Caenorhabditis elegans: one gene and its partners. The protein of the gene in region 3 interacts with the protein of the main gene of each other region in a pairwise test. Each region holds a gene or a part of one and is shown on either strand. Other genes may lie near its edges. The genes, in order: osgn-1, idpb-2 and rpl-3.

Evidence for each region.
Region 1: the proteins of rpl-3 (region 3) and osgn-1 interact in a two-hybrid assay, tested with the Caenorhabditis elegans proteins (one large-scale study listed by BioGRID).
Region 2: the proteins of rpl-3 (region 3) and idpb-2 interact in a two-hybrid assay, tested with the Caenorhabditis elegans proteins (one large-scale study listed by BioGRID).

What each region holds. Positions count from the first base shown.
Region 1 is NC_003282.8:4,205,659-4,210,409, reverse strand, and holds the start of osgn-1 (FAD/NAD(P)-binding domain-containing protein), read right to left. Parts: upstream 3,023-4,751; coding exon 3,018-3,022; intron 1-3,017.
Region 2 is NC_003280.10:5,068,115-5,071,350, reverse strand, and holds idpb-2 (Intrinsically Disordered Protein, class B), read left to right. Parts: upstream 1-1,725; 5' UTR 1,726-1,742; coding exon 1,743-1,799; exon of another isoform or gene 1,800-1,846; coding exon 1,847-2,061; intron 2,062-2,321; coding exon 2,322-2,616; 3' UTR 2,617-2,703; downstream 2,704-3,236. Other genes in the region: C27A2.7 (C2H2-type domain-containing protein), read left to right, coding at 1-167, 472-543, 685-758, 834-987, 1,365-1,493.
Region 3 is NC_003281.10:3,865,851-3,870,125, reverse strand, and holds rpl-3 (Large ribosomal subunit protein uL3), read right to left. Parts: upstream 2,273-4,275; 5' UTR 2,264-2,272; coding exon 1,899-2,263; exon of another isoform or gene 1,897-1,898; intron 1,798-1,896; exon of another isoform or gene 1,682-1,797; coding exon 1,546-1,681; exon of another isoform or gene 1,544-1,545; intron 1,498-1,543; coding exon 1,057-1,497; exon of another isoform or gene 1,055-1,056; intron 922-1,054; coding exon 658-921; 3' UTR 539-657; downstream 1-538. Other genes in the region: acs-19 (Acetyl-coenzyme A synthetase), read right to left, coding at 3,296-4,124, 4,176-4,275. UniProt on the Caenorhabditis elegans protein: The L3 protein is a component of the large subunit of cytoplasmic ribosomes.

The DNA of each region.
Region 1 (4,751 bases), on a different chromosome or scaffold from region 3:
TTTCAGATTGCCATATTTTAAAGTTAGGAAACAATCCTTACAATGTTAGTTACCAACTTACGGAAAGCGTTCTACGTTCTACGGAAAATTGCTGAAATGGCCAAAAAATGGCCGAAATGGCCGAATTGCCGAAATTGAATTGCCAAATTGTAGAAAATCGCCAGAATTGCCGGAAACTGGATAGGTACAAAGTTGCTGAGAAAAATGCCGAGATCGCCGTGAAAATCGCTGCCGCATTACTCCAAATTGCCAGAGTTGCCGAAAAATCCAATTTCCCGCTCAAAAACACACGTGAAATTCTTCAATTTCCGACGGAAAAATTGCATTTCCAGCAAGAGTTCATATAATCTATAATCGGATCGAAAAGTAGACTACAATCCTCTTAAAAACCGGCTGCGGAATGCGGGAAAAATACTTTTTCTTTCTTTTTTTTTCACCGGAAATTGAAAATTTCTTAGGCCTGCTGACCGCGGGAAATTCGATTTTTCACTGAAATTTTTCAAATTCCTCCGATTTTTCCGCTATTTTTCTTAAAATTTTGAAACAGATCTCTGACTCGATAACTCAACTTTTTGTACTTGAAACAAACAGTGACAAAATGATGACAAATACTCACATATCTCTCGTTTTTTCTCTATTTCCGAAACTTTTTTTCGACGAAAAAGTTCGAAGCTCAACAACCTACTTGTTTCGAAGATTTTTGGCGCCATTTCTGAGAAAGAAAAAGTTAAAAAAAAAACTGAAAATTCACAAAAAAAACTCGGTGGCCGAGAAAAAATTGAAACCTGAGACTTAAGCGAGCAAGCTTAAGCCTCAGCCTCAGCCTAAGCCTAATCCTAAATCTAAGCCTAAACCTAATCCAGTTCAAAAACTAGGCCATGTGCAAGATTTTTGGTCAATATAAAACGAAAATCAGCAAAAAATTGGAGTTACAACTTGGTGGCCTAGAAAAATAATTCCAAGCCACCACCTCAAAAAGCCAGGCCACTGACCGTTTTTTCCAAAAAATAGGTCAAAATTGTTGATTTTTTGTGGGAAAAAACACAAAAATCATGTTTTGTTGATTGATCCACTCGAAACCACGTGAAGTAAATATTTGATGAAAAATCGCAAAAAACGGTTCAAAACGGCGTGTTTTGTCTATTTGCAGACGAAAAAGAGGGAATTTTCGCGAAAATATTTACTTTTTCTCTCTACACTGTGTTCGTCCACTCGAACAAAAATCAAGAGTGTTTTTGAGACATTTTATGGCAAAAAAGTGCTATTTTTGGCAGAAAAATCAGATTTCGAGCGATTTTTATGTGGAAAACGGGGGAAAACTGACTTTTTTGACATAAAAATCGGATCTTTAGGCAGTTTTCAGGTGAAAAGTCCACTGAAAATGGTATTTTCAACAAAAATAATTCAATTTTCAGGTAACTTTTAAGATGAAAACCTACCTTAAAAATTAAATTTTAAGCAGAAAGATCGGATTTTTAAGTAATTTTGAGCTGAAAACCCACTGAAAAATGGAATTTTCAGCAGAAAAATCGTATTTTCTACCGATTTCCAGATTATTTGGATTTTTTTGAAATGTTCTCTTTTGAATATCGAAATATTGCTTCAAACCTTAAATTTTTTAAATTTTGCCCTAAAAATACTGGTGGCCTAGAAATCCGAGAAATTCTTAGGCCAGCACCAAGAAAACAGCGGCGGGAAAATCGAAGTTTTGAAATATTTTTGGAGTAAAAATTGGGATTTAGGATGAAAATTTAAAATGTCCTAAAAATTCCTAGGCCTTATAAATTCAAAATGTTCTGCCATTTTAGGCTAAATTTTGAATTTTTCGCAAAAAAAGAAACCGTGACCTAGATATTTCTAGGCCACCGATCAGAAAACAATGCAAATTTCAAATTTTTGACTAATTTTCGAAGAAATTGACTCAAAAATCAAGCATGTTAAAGATAGGAAACTAAATATAATTTTAATCTTTCTTAGTAAACTGATTTTTTCTTCAAATTTTCATGCTCGGCGAGCCGCTTGAACTCCCAATTTCAGAGATCTCTAAGGAGGAAAAACCAGGAAAAAATAGGAAAAAACCAGAAGAAAAGGAGAAAAAGAAGAATGAGTAGCGTGCGACAAGAGATCAGACCCCGCGTGGAGAGCGCAGAGAAAAACGGAACGATTCTGGCGAGTTTTGGCCTAAAATTGCGGGAAAATAAAGAAAAATGATAATTTTTGCGCTAAAATTTCGGGTTTTTGTAGCAAAAATTGCAGAAAATTGCAGAAAATTGCGAATTTTTTGCGAATTCGGAGGTTTTTCGCTGAAATATTGCAAAACATGCAATTTTCTATGGTCTCAGCGAAAATTGGAATTTTTGAGCTAAAACTACAATTTTTTTTGCTGATTTTCACTGAAATTCTTGGTTTTTGAATCAATTTTCCCGAAAATTACTCAAAAATTTGAAATTTTCATTGTTTTCTGGCGGGTGGCCTAGAAATTTCTAAGCCACGGTTTCTTTTTTTTCGGAAAAATTCAAATTTAGCTTCAAATTGCAGAATATTTCGAATTCATAAGGGATGGCCTAGGATTGTTTAGGCCACTTGCAAAATTTAACCAAAAAACTGAAATTTCGAAAATTTCTCTTGAAAAAGGTGAAAATCTGAGAATTTTCCGAAAGTTCGAATTTTTAGCTTAGAAATCGCTGAAAATCACAATTTTTACTTTTTTTTTCAACTTGTTTTTGGCAATTTTCCGTTTTTCCAGAAAATGAAATTTTAGACAAACAAAAAATAAAATCGAATTTTCAGCTAAATTTCAAGTTGAAAAAGAGTTTTTTAAAGAAAACTAGAAAACATGAAATTTTTCAAAAAAAAATTAATTGGATGTACAGTTGTCAACTTGTTCTTGAAAATTCGAAAAAAATTCAGAAAATTTTTTAAATGATTTGAGATTACTTTATTGATTGGTTGGAACAAGGATATAGTAATAATCGCATAAAATTACACAAAAAATACAAAAGTTTTCAATTCCTTACCTCATAATTTGTTTTTCTTGCCGCGGCTTTTAGGCATTATTCAGAGATCTCCAGAAATATGAATTTGCCTGGAATCTTCGAGAAAATGAGTTGTACCACAATTGGAATGCCGTCACCGGGGTGGTTTTGAGGGAACCTGGAAAATTGGGGAAAATTTGGCAATAAATTAGTTTAAATATTCGAGAAAAATAGCTGAATTTTGACCGAAAATCGGCAGAAAATTTGTGGGAAATATTGCAAATTTCGAATAAAATGTGGAAAAAAAACGCTGAATTTTGGCTAAAAACTCACTGAAAATCTACCAAAAATGTGAGAAAAATTGGCTAAAAATTCGAGAAAAAAACGTTAAAATATGGCTGAAAATCGGCACAAATCGGAAAAATTTGACTAAAAATTTGTGTACAAAATTTGTGTATTGGCTTAAAATTTGGTTAAGATTTTGCTTAATATTTCAGAAAAATAGTGGAATTTTGGATGAAAGTCGGCTGAAAATTTGAAGAAAAAAGGTTACATTTGGCTGAATATCAACTGAAAATTATCCGAAATATATGAGATTTGGCTGAAAATTCTGGAAAAAATTAAGATAAAATTGCTTCGAATTTTGATTGAAAAAATCTGAAAAAATCACTGAAAATAGAGCAAAAAATGCAGAATTTATGGCTAAAAATTGTCTGGAAATTCTAACTAGGGAACCGTCAGAAGGTGCCCATTGGACTTGCATATGGGACCTATGCCATTTGATAGCCCATGTCTTAAAACGGTTACGTGTGAATTTTTAGCTACGAATCTCCAGAATCAAGCTCACGGCGAGCTCTCAAAGATCTTAGAATAGCACTGTAACGAAGCGTTGTAACGATCTAAACAAGCAATTTTCCTAATTCAGTTTGGTAGCTCATATCTCCGTGGATAAATTTTTTACAGAAAAGTCATCAACTGACAAGTTGTTAATCTTTTTGTAAAAAACAAGTTTGTAGTTGAAAGATTTTAGCAAAAAAAAATTTGTTTCAGATAAAACCATTAGAATAGCAATAACTGCATAAAAATAACAACAACAGTAACCGCACTTTACGCGCTTCTATCTGAAACAAAAATTTTTTGATAAAAACTTTCAACTACAAACTTGTTCTTTACAAAAAGATCAACAACTTTTTAGTTGATGAGTTTTCTGTAAAAAATTTATCCGCGGAGACCAAAGTGAATTTGGAAAATTGGCCCTTCAATGCTTCGTTACAGTGTTATTTCAGGATCTTTGAGAGCTCGCCGTGAGCTTGATTCTGGAGATTCACAGCTAAAAATTCACGATTTCAGCGAAATTTTTAGTTTTTTCTACTGAAAAATCTTCCAAAAATCCAAAAAAAAAGCTGCTTACCACCAGAGGGATTAGGAAGACGAACTGAGAAGGATTCGGTGTGGTTGATGAGATTTCTTATCATTTTTTCCGCGAATTCCACCAGTGTCGACTGCAATGATTTATTACTTTTTTACCGAAAGAGGATAAGGATCCGATGATCCAATAATGAGGCGGGGCTTGATTTTCATACGGAAAAATCGTTTTTTTCTGGAAAAAATGACAACAGTAAGAAATTTAAATCGTTTTTTTCTGGAAAAAATGACAACAGTAAGAAATTTTTATGAAAAATGGGATTTTTTTTTCGAATTTCTTGAGTTTTGTGTTTTTAACGAAAAAAAACTTATTTATAAAATTTATGGGATTTTTTAGAAAAAATGACAAAA
Region 2 (3,236 bases), on a different chromosome or scaffold from region 3:
TGTCATTTGGCAGTCCCAAAATAGATTTTGGAAAGAAATCTTCAAACCTTGAACAGAGTATTCAAAGAATCAAAGTTCGCAAGAGTCTTCTCATGGCTCAGATTTGTTTATCGGACAAACCAGATTTCACTTCCAAAGTGGAGAACAACAATCAACAATCAGAAAAGGTAACTGATAGGTTTTGATATGAGCTATTCTATATATGAATATTAATCTAATTTTCCTGACAGTTCTAAGATATTGTATATCCCCTATTAGTATTGTATGTAATACTTTTTCCATCGATTACTCTGAGTTTAGCTCTTGTAAATATTTCAATTTAATAAGATATATTATATTTAAATATTAGACTCACAAACATTTATTGAAATTGAAAACTTTCAACAAAAGACTACAAACTTACAGTAATCCCAATAGTCAATTGTTTTACACATATTTTATCAGTGTATGTTCATGAAAAATATATTGAAGGTCTACACAAAAGCTCAACGGTCATCTGTCAGGTTTCCAACATACGATGGATTGCTCCCCGCTGGCGGAACAGTAAGCGGAAGCTTATCTCTCTTTCTCCTGTTCTATCATTTTTTGGTATATTCTTCTGTTAGCAATTACTTTGAGAACCTTTTTTTCAATTGTATCTATCATGTTCTTTTCCTGAACACCATCAGTTCCTTCATATTTCAGTACATTTGCGATGAATGCAACAGCGACGAGCGGACCCCATTTCAGCTTTGTGAGCACAAGGCAATTTATCACAGGTTTGCCTATTTTTGAAGAATTTAATTTGTTAGCTATAACTTTTGTGTTTATAAATGTATACTCTGGCGTTTCAGTCCCCAAGACCAGAGGGTTTGGAAATGTGTGTACTGTCACACACAATTTGGAAGGCGAGGTGGACTTCGGAGGCATGTTCAGATGGTTCATATGCAGATGATGCATAAATGTCCCGTAGAGAATTGCACTCATCCAGGATACAAGTGCACAAAGGTGGTCATTTCAATCTTTTTATTGAAGGCAGGACCACGCGCTCGAATTTAAAATTTAAAAAAATTAGATTTATGGAGTACTGTAGTCCACATTTCTTCATTGTTGTTTCAATGTTTTCCGTTCGTTTACATAGGAGCTACAGTACTCCGTCATCCATCGGACGTGTCGAGACGAGATTTTGTATCAGTGGTAAAAACCTTTCAAAAAACGTAGCAAGATTCAAAGGAACCTTTGAACTCTTTTAACTTGAAGATGCAGCTCTAGATTGCCACTAGATTACCAAACGTTATAAATGTTTGAGAATTATTGGTTTCATTAATATTGATTTTTCAAGCCAAAAACACCCTTCAAGTCTATTCAAGTCTATGCTCTTTCAGGCTCTGAATGCTCATGTCAGAACTCATACTCGACCATATGCCTGCCATCGGTGTGATGCTAGCTTTGCACGAAAAAACGATCTACAGAGTCATCTATCAACTCATCAAGCTACTCCAGTCATTCATTAATTTATTATATTATCTCAATTTTCCGTTTCTCTATCTATCTTATTACGATTACCTCTTCTTTTTTTCTGTGATTGTACCATAAACCTCAAAGTCCAACGCGATTTCTCGAGGGTATACGGAAGGGTTGAGTTTTGCTTCCGGAAAAGTGTCAAATGCACTACGCACCGCGCAACCGCAGGCATACTTACGTAAATATTTGAGTGATATAAAAGAAAGCATGAATGGTTCAATGATACACTCGAACTTAACATGAACAAGCTCGTCTGCTCCACCTTCGCCATTCTGGCAATAATCGCAATTTCTCAGGTATCAACGTTTCAGGGGACTTGTGTAGAATTCGAAGATCCTTGCAGGTTCAATCAGCAGTACTACCAGTGTCCTCAAAAGAAGTAGCATTAATAACATCATCTGCTTCAACCACTTCATCATCTGAAACATCAATTGATACATTAGGATCATCCAGAGTTAAAAGACAAGGAGGATGTGGTTGCTGTGGATGCGGATGCGGATGCTGCGGATGTGGTGGAGGAGGTGGAGGAGGATGCGGATGTTGCTGTTGTAGACCAAAGTAAGTTCAGAATTCGACACTTCTACTTTTTTAATTGATAATTCCAGAAATGTTACATTCACTATTTGAAAGATCTTTAATCCTTTAAATCTCAAAGTTTTAAACTTTGTCGTTACGTTTTCAGACTCGTCTGCATCTTCAGCATTTTCAGAATGATGTAGCAAATTTTAGTTCAAATTTTAGTGTAGCAACATCTTTCTTAAAAGAACAGTATCTTTTAGGCACATCTGCCGTTGTAATTTAAAATTTAAAATTTTCAGATGCTGCTGCTGTTGCCGCCGTTGCTGTACATGTTGCCGTACTTGCTGTTGTACAAGATGTTGTACTTGCTGCCGTCCATGTTGTTGTGGATGTGGATGTGGATGTGGATGTTGTGGATGCGGAGGTGGAGGACGTAAACGTCGTTCTCTTCAGAATCTCCGTATTGCTTTGGCTAACAAAATCGAAGGAATCGCCAAAGTCGTGAAGGGATCCGCTGTAGAAGCTTCAGTTATGAACGCATTGGCTCCTGTCAATGATGCTACGGTTGAAGAGAAGAAAGACGTGATCAACTGAGCGATGCGTTTGTTAAACTAATTTAATTAATTTAATTTGAATTCTGTGATTCTCACTTCAGAGAAATAAATAGTTGATTCTCTCTTGATTAACGCAAATACCAAAAAAATGTTATATACATAGAATTAGATAAAAAACGAGTAGAGACAAAGTTCAACAACGTTGTTGTCCATACAAAGCCTTGGAATTTACCGGCCCCCAAAGTATGCCTGGTTTGAGAAACGCTGAAAAATCCTCAGAATTAGATCAGAAAACTCATCAGAAATTGTTGCTTGTAGTAGTGAAATTTTCTTGATTGATCTGAGAAGCTTAAACTTGTTACTAACTTTTCAATAACTCGTCTCATTCTAGAGAACCTGAAAGTAACCGGGAGCTTGTGTGGTAAAATTATTCTACATTGGAAGAAATGGCATATTTCCCTTTTCCCCTATTTTACATTAGGTTTCTATTTTCAATTTCGGTTCAAGAATCATCAATTTTTAATTCCTAGTCCCATTTAGAAATAATGTCGCAACACTCATTCTTCATTCCCAGAGTCTCGCCCATTTCTTTCCCATTGAAACACTAGCTTCTGGTTACCATGACAACTCCATCCTTGTGCTCCAGTAAAAACTGCTCTG
Region 3 (4,275 bases):
AAACCAATTTTCTTCAACCATCCCAATATCAAATATCAAACTCCCAATGTCTTTCAATCATCCCACACGAAAGTTTTAATGTATTTGACCCTCATTTTAAATCAGTCAAAACCTCAAAAAAAGTGTTCCACAAAAAACTGGAAATTCAAAGCGTAGAATCTATGATTTCAACTGTCTCTCTCTCTTCCTCATTTACCCAATGCCCTGCCGTTTTCTGCAAATAATAATAATAATTGTAATAATCTCTATAAATTATGTGATTGATGTCTTTATGAAACCAAAAAGAAAACTCTGAAACTTCACTTTCTTATAATCTTTCTGTTTATATATTCCGATCTCCATCTGTTTCATTCGTTTCACTTTTTCTGTTTTATTTCCTGCAACGTGTAATAGTCGATCAACCCCCAACTCAGGAACCCATCAAATTCGAACCCTTTAACTCCCTCTTTAAATTGAACTTTTTATCTTAACAATTACCGGGTCTAACACCCTTCCAGATTTCTAATGTTATACCTAATGAATGTTTCGGATTATTATTCTTCAATACAAGCAGCATAGTCCTTCAGATTCAACAAAAAAGCATACTCAAAGTGTATTCAAAATGTGAACAGTGAAGAAACATTTGATAACAATAACAATTTATTTGAATAAACAAATTTAAGCCTTAGCTTCGGCCTCGGCAAGGAAATCTCTCTTGAGTTTTCCCATGAAAGCACGCTTCTCGGCTGTGGTTTGGAAGCGACCGTGTCCGGTCTTGGAACTGGTGTCGATCCACTTGAGGTTGATCTTCTCGTGGGCGACTCTCTTGGTTTGGGTGATGAGCGACTTGCGGAGGGTGATAAGACGCTTCTTTGGTCCGAGAACGGCTCCACGAAGCATGATGTAGTCCTGGTTGACGATACCGTATCTTGGGAATCCTCCCTAAAACAAAACAATTATTAAAAATTCATGAAAATTGATTACAACGCCCGATGTTCTCAGATAAAATATAGTCGCCATACAGAGTACGAATTGCAGACTTTTTCTTCATAGAACGGTGAAAAAAATAAAACGAACCATTGGGGTGATGGTCTTCTGGGTAAGATCGAACTCGGTGGATCCGTTGTTCTTTCCTTCCTCAGTGAGAGCAGACTTTCCAATACGGTAGATCTTGTTGTTGATGATGGTACGGTGATGGAATCCCTTTTGTCCAGCACGAGCGACAGTGAAGGCGACACGAGATGGATGCCAAGCTCCAATACAGGCGACCTTGCGGAGACCCTTGTGCGTCTTGCGAGGAAGCTTCTTGGTGTGCCATCTGCTGGTGACTCCCTTGAATCCGTGACCTCTGGTAACTCCGATGGTGTCAATCATCTCATCCTGAGCGAAGACGGTATCAACCTGGACTTGTTTCTCGAGATGCTCGCGAGCCCAGTCGACCTTCTGCTCGATGGTTCCTCCGTTGACTTGGATTTCGACGAGGTGAGCCTTCTTTTGGCGACGGCGAAGGATCTTCATCTGCAAAATATAACTTAAGAATACAAACAAACTAAATATAAATATTACCTGAGTGTGAGCGATCACACGGATAGAAGAGCAGTACTTCTTCAGCTTGGCGAAATCAGCCTCGATGAGCTTCTTTCCATCCTCATCTTGCCACTTCTTGGCGTACTTGGTGAAAGCCTTCTTCTTGGATTTAGCCCTGTAGTTTCTACGATTACGAACAAAATGCCTTTCAGCGTACAGGACGCTTTAGCCACTCAGTTCGTTTACCATCATGTACATAAGTACAGCGGAAGGCAACCGACTTAGAAACGCGACTGCAAATACAGACTTGTAATCACGAAACCACCAAATGACACCAAAAACGCACCATAACACTGAATACAAAAAACGAAATAGTTGAAAAATAAACTAACCAGTTGCTGTAGAAGCGACGACGAGCTTCCTCGGACAAGTGCTCGGCCCAGATGGTGGTAAGAGCACGTGGTCCTTGTGGGGTGTCGACGTATCCGGTAACTCCAGCAATAACCATTGGTGGGGTCTCGACGATGGTGACGGCTTCGACAACCTCCTTCTTGTTAACCTTTGATCCTGGCTTATCGACATCACGGACGATATGGGTCATACCGGCCTTGTATCCGAGGAAAGCGGTCAAATGGATTGGCTTGCTCTTGTCATCCTTTGGGAAAGCCTTGATTCTTCCACGGTAAGTGCGGGAGCGCTTCTTTGGGGTGAATCCCATGTGTCCATGTCTCGGGGCCGAAAACTTTCGGTGAGACATTGTTGTACCCTGAAAAATATTAATTTTACGAAAAAATTATAGAAAAAGCATGAGCGAACAAAGAATAAAAATTGCGTTTTCGGTTAAAAAATTTTTTAAATAACTACTTTTCTAGACAGATACTAATTTGAACATTTTAAATTTAGAATTGCACGTAAAAAAACAAAATTTATTCGAAAAAAACATGAAAATTTTAGGCTAAAACAAATTGAAATGAAGTTTAGGCCAGTGAAAGGCGTTGGGAGACCCACACACTCGGCGCACACTTGTGCGTCGCAAAACACGCTTTTACCGTAGCTGTGGCGGCGGAGTGTACAAGTGTACGACAAGCGCGGTTGTTTGAATTCGATTTCTTTCGCAGTTGGAGAGATTCTGCAAATAATAATGTTTTTAAATACATTGTTTTTTAACGGGAAATATTCATGTAAATCAAGTTTTATTTTGAAGCATCATTATATAATCAAGAAAATCGATTTGCTTTGTTCAAACGGCCTATCAAAACAACACACTTTATGCTTAAAATAATTCATTTTCCTGTAATTTTGCAATGCAAGTTAAATCAAATATTATTTTGTATTGAACTTTCGTGGTTTTTATCATAATTCATAAAAATTGAGCTAAACATCAGATTCACTGGGCATATGAAATGCATTTCTCCATGTAAGTATTTAATCTTCTTCTTGTAATTTCATGTTTCGTGTTTTAATTATCCGAATAAGCCAAAATTGTTATCTGAAAATCTGAAATTGAGTTAAAACAATTAATCAGTTCTGAATCATTTACTTGTTTTCTAATTTCGAATTCAGGGTTCAATAAATTACTGGGGGAAATTACAACACTGGAATTTAATTCTACACAGGAGTCAATCAGGGAATGCATCTTGATTACAAAGAAGGTCATGTTGGGGTTAAAAGTTTAGATCTTGCATTGATTCTGCAGAAATTACAACGATAGAGGGGGAAAAGAGAAGTAATACAGAAAAAGTAACATTAATAGTAAGAATTGAATTGATTTACAATTGTTCAAGTTCGTTTATGCACGTGCAGAACGTCCAGAGATTAGTTGTTTGATGACAGATTCGTCGACTAGAGTAGTAGTATCACCGATTCCACTTTCGGATCCTTCAGCAATCTTTCTCAAGATTCTTCTGGTAACCTTGCCGGAACGAGTTTTTGGAAGTCCTGGAGCTTCTTGGATAACATCTGGAACAGCCAATGCACCAATTTTCTCGCGAACTAGTTTCTTGAGCTCAGCCACAAGCTTTTCATTGATTCTCTCTCCAACATTCAAAGTGACGAATGCGTATGGGAAGGATCCCTTGATGTCATGTGGAGCAGCAACAACGGCAGCTTCAGCAACTTTCTCATGAGCCACAAGAGCTGATTCAATTTCAGCAGTAGACAGAAGATGACCACTGACATTCATCAAATCATCAACACGTCCAGTTATCCACAAGTATCCATCTTCATCACGTCTGGCACCATCTCCAGTGAAATAGTATCCATTGAATGGAGCCAAATAGGTCTTGACAAAGCGTTGCTCATCTCCATAGATTCCACGCATCATTCCAGGCCAGGCACGATCAAAGCATAGTGATCCTTCTCCCGGACCTTCAATAACACGACCTTCAGCATCCAAAAGAACTGGAGATGCTCCGAAGAATGGCATTGCAGCTGCTCCTGGCTTCATTGGAGTTGCTCCTGGAAGGCATGTGATCATGTGTCCTCCAGTTTCAGTTTGCCAGTAAGTATCCACAATGGATACATTGGAAAGTCCAACTTGCTTGTACAACCACATCCATGCAGCAGGATTGATGGGCTCTCCAACTGTTCCGATAACCTTGAGAGTTTTGCGAGAAGAGCTGAAAATTAAAAATAAAGATGCTGAACAATTATTTTTGAATAATTATTACCTTTCAAGCCACTGATTTCCGAGAGCCATAAGAGCTCTTGCGGCTGTTGGTGAGGTATACAGCTTGGTCACACCATACTTATCAGTGACATCCCACATTC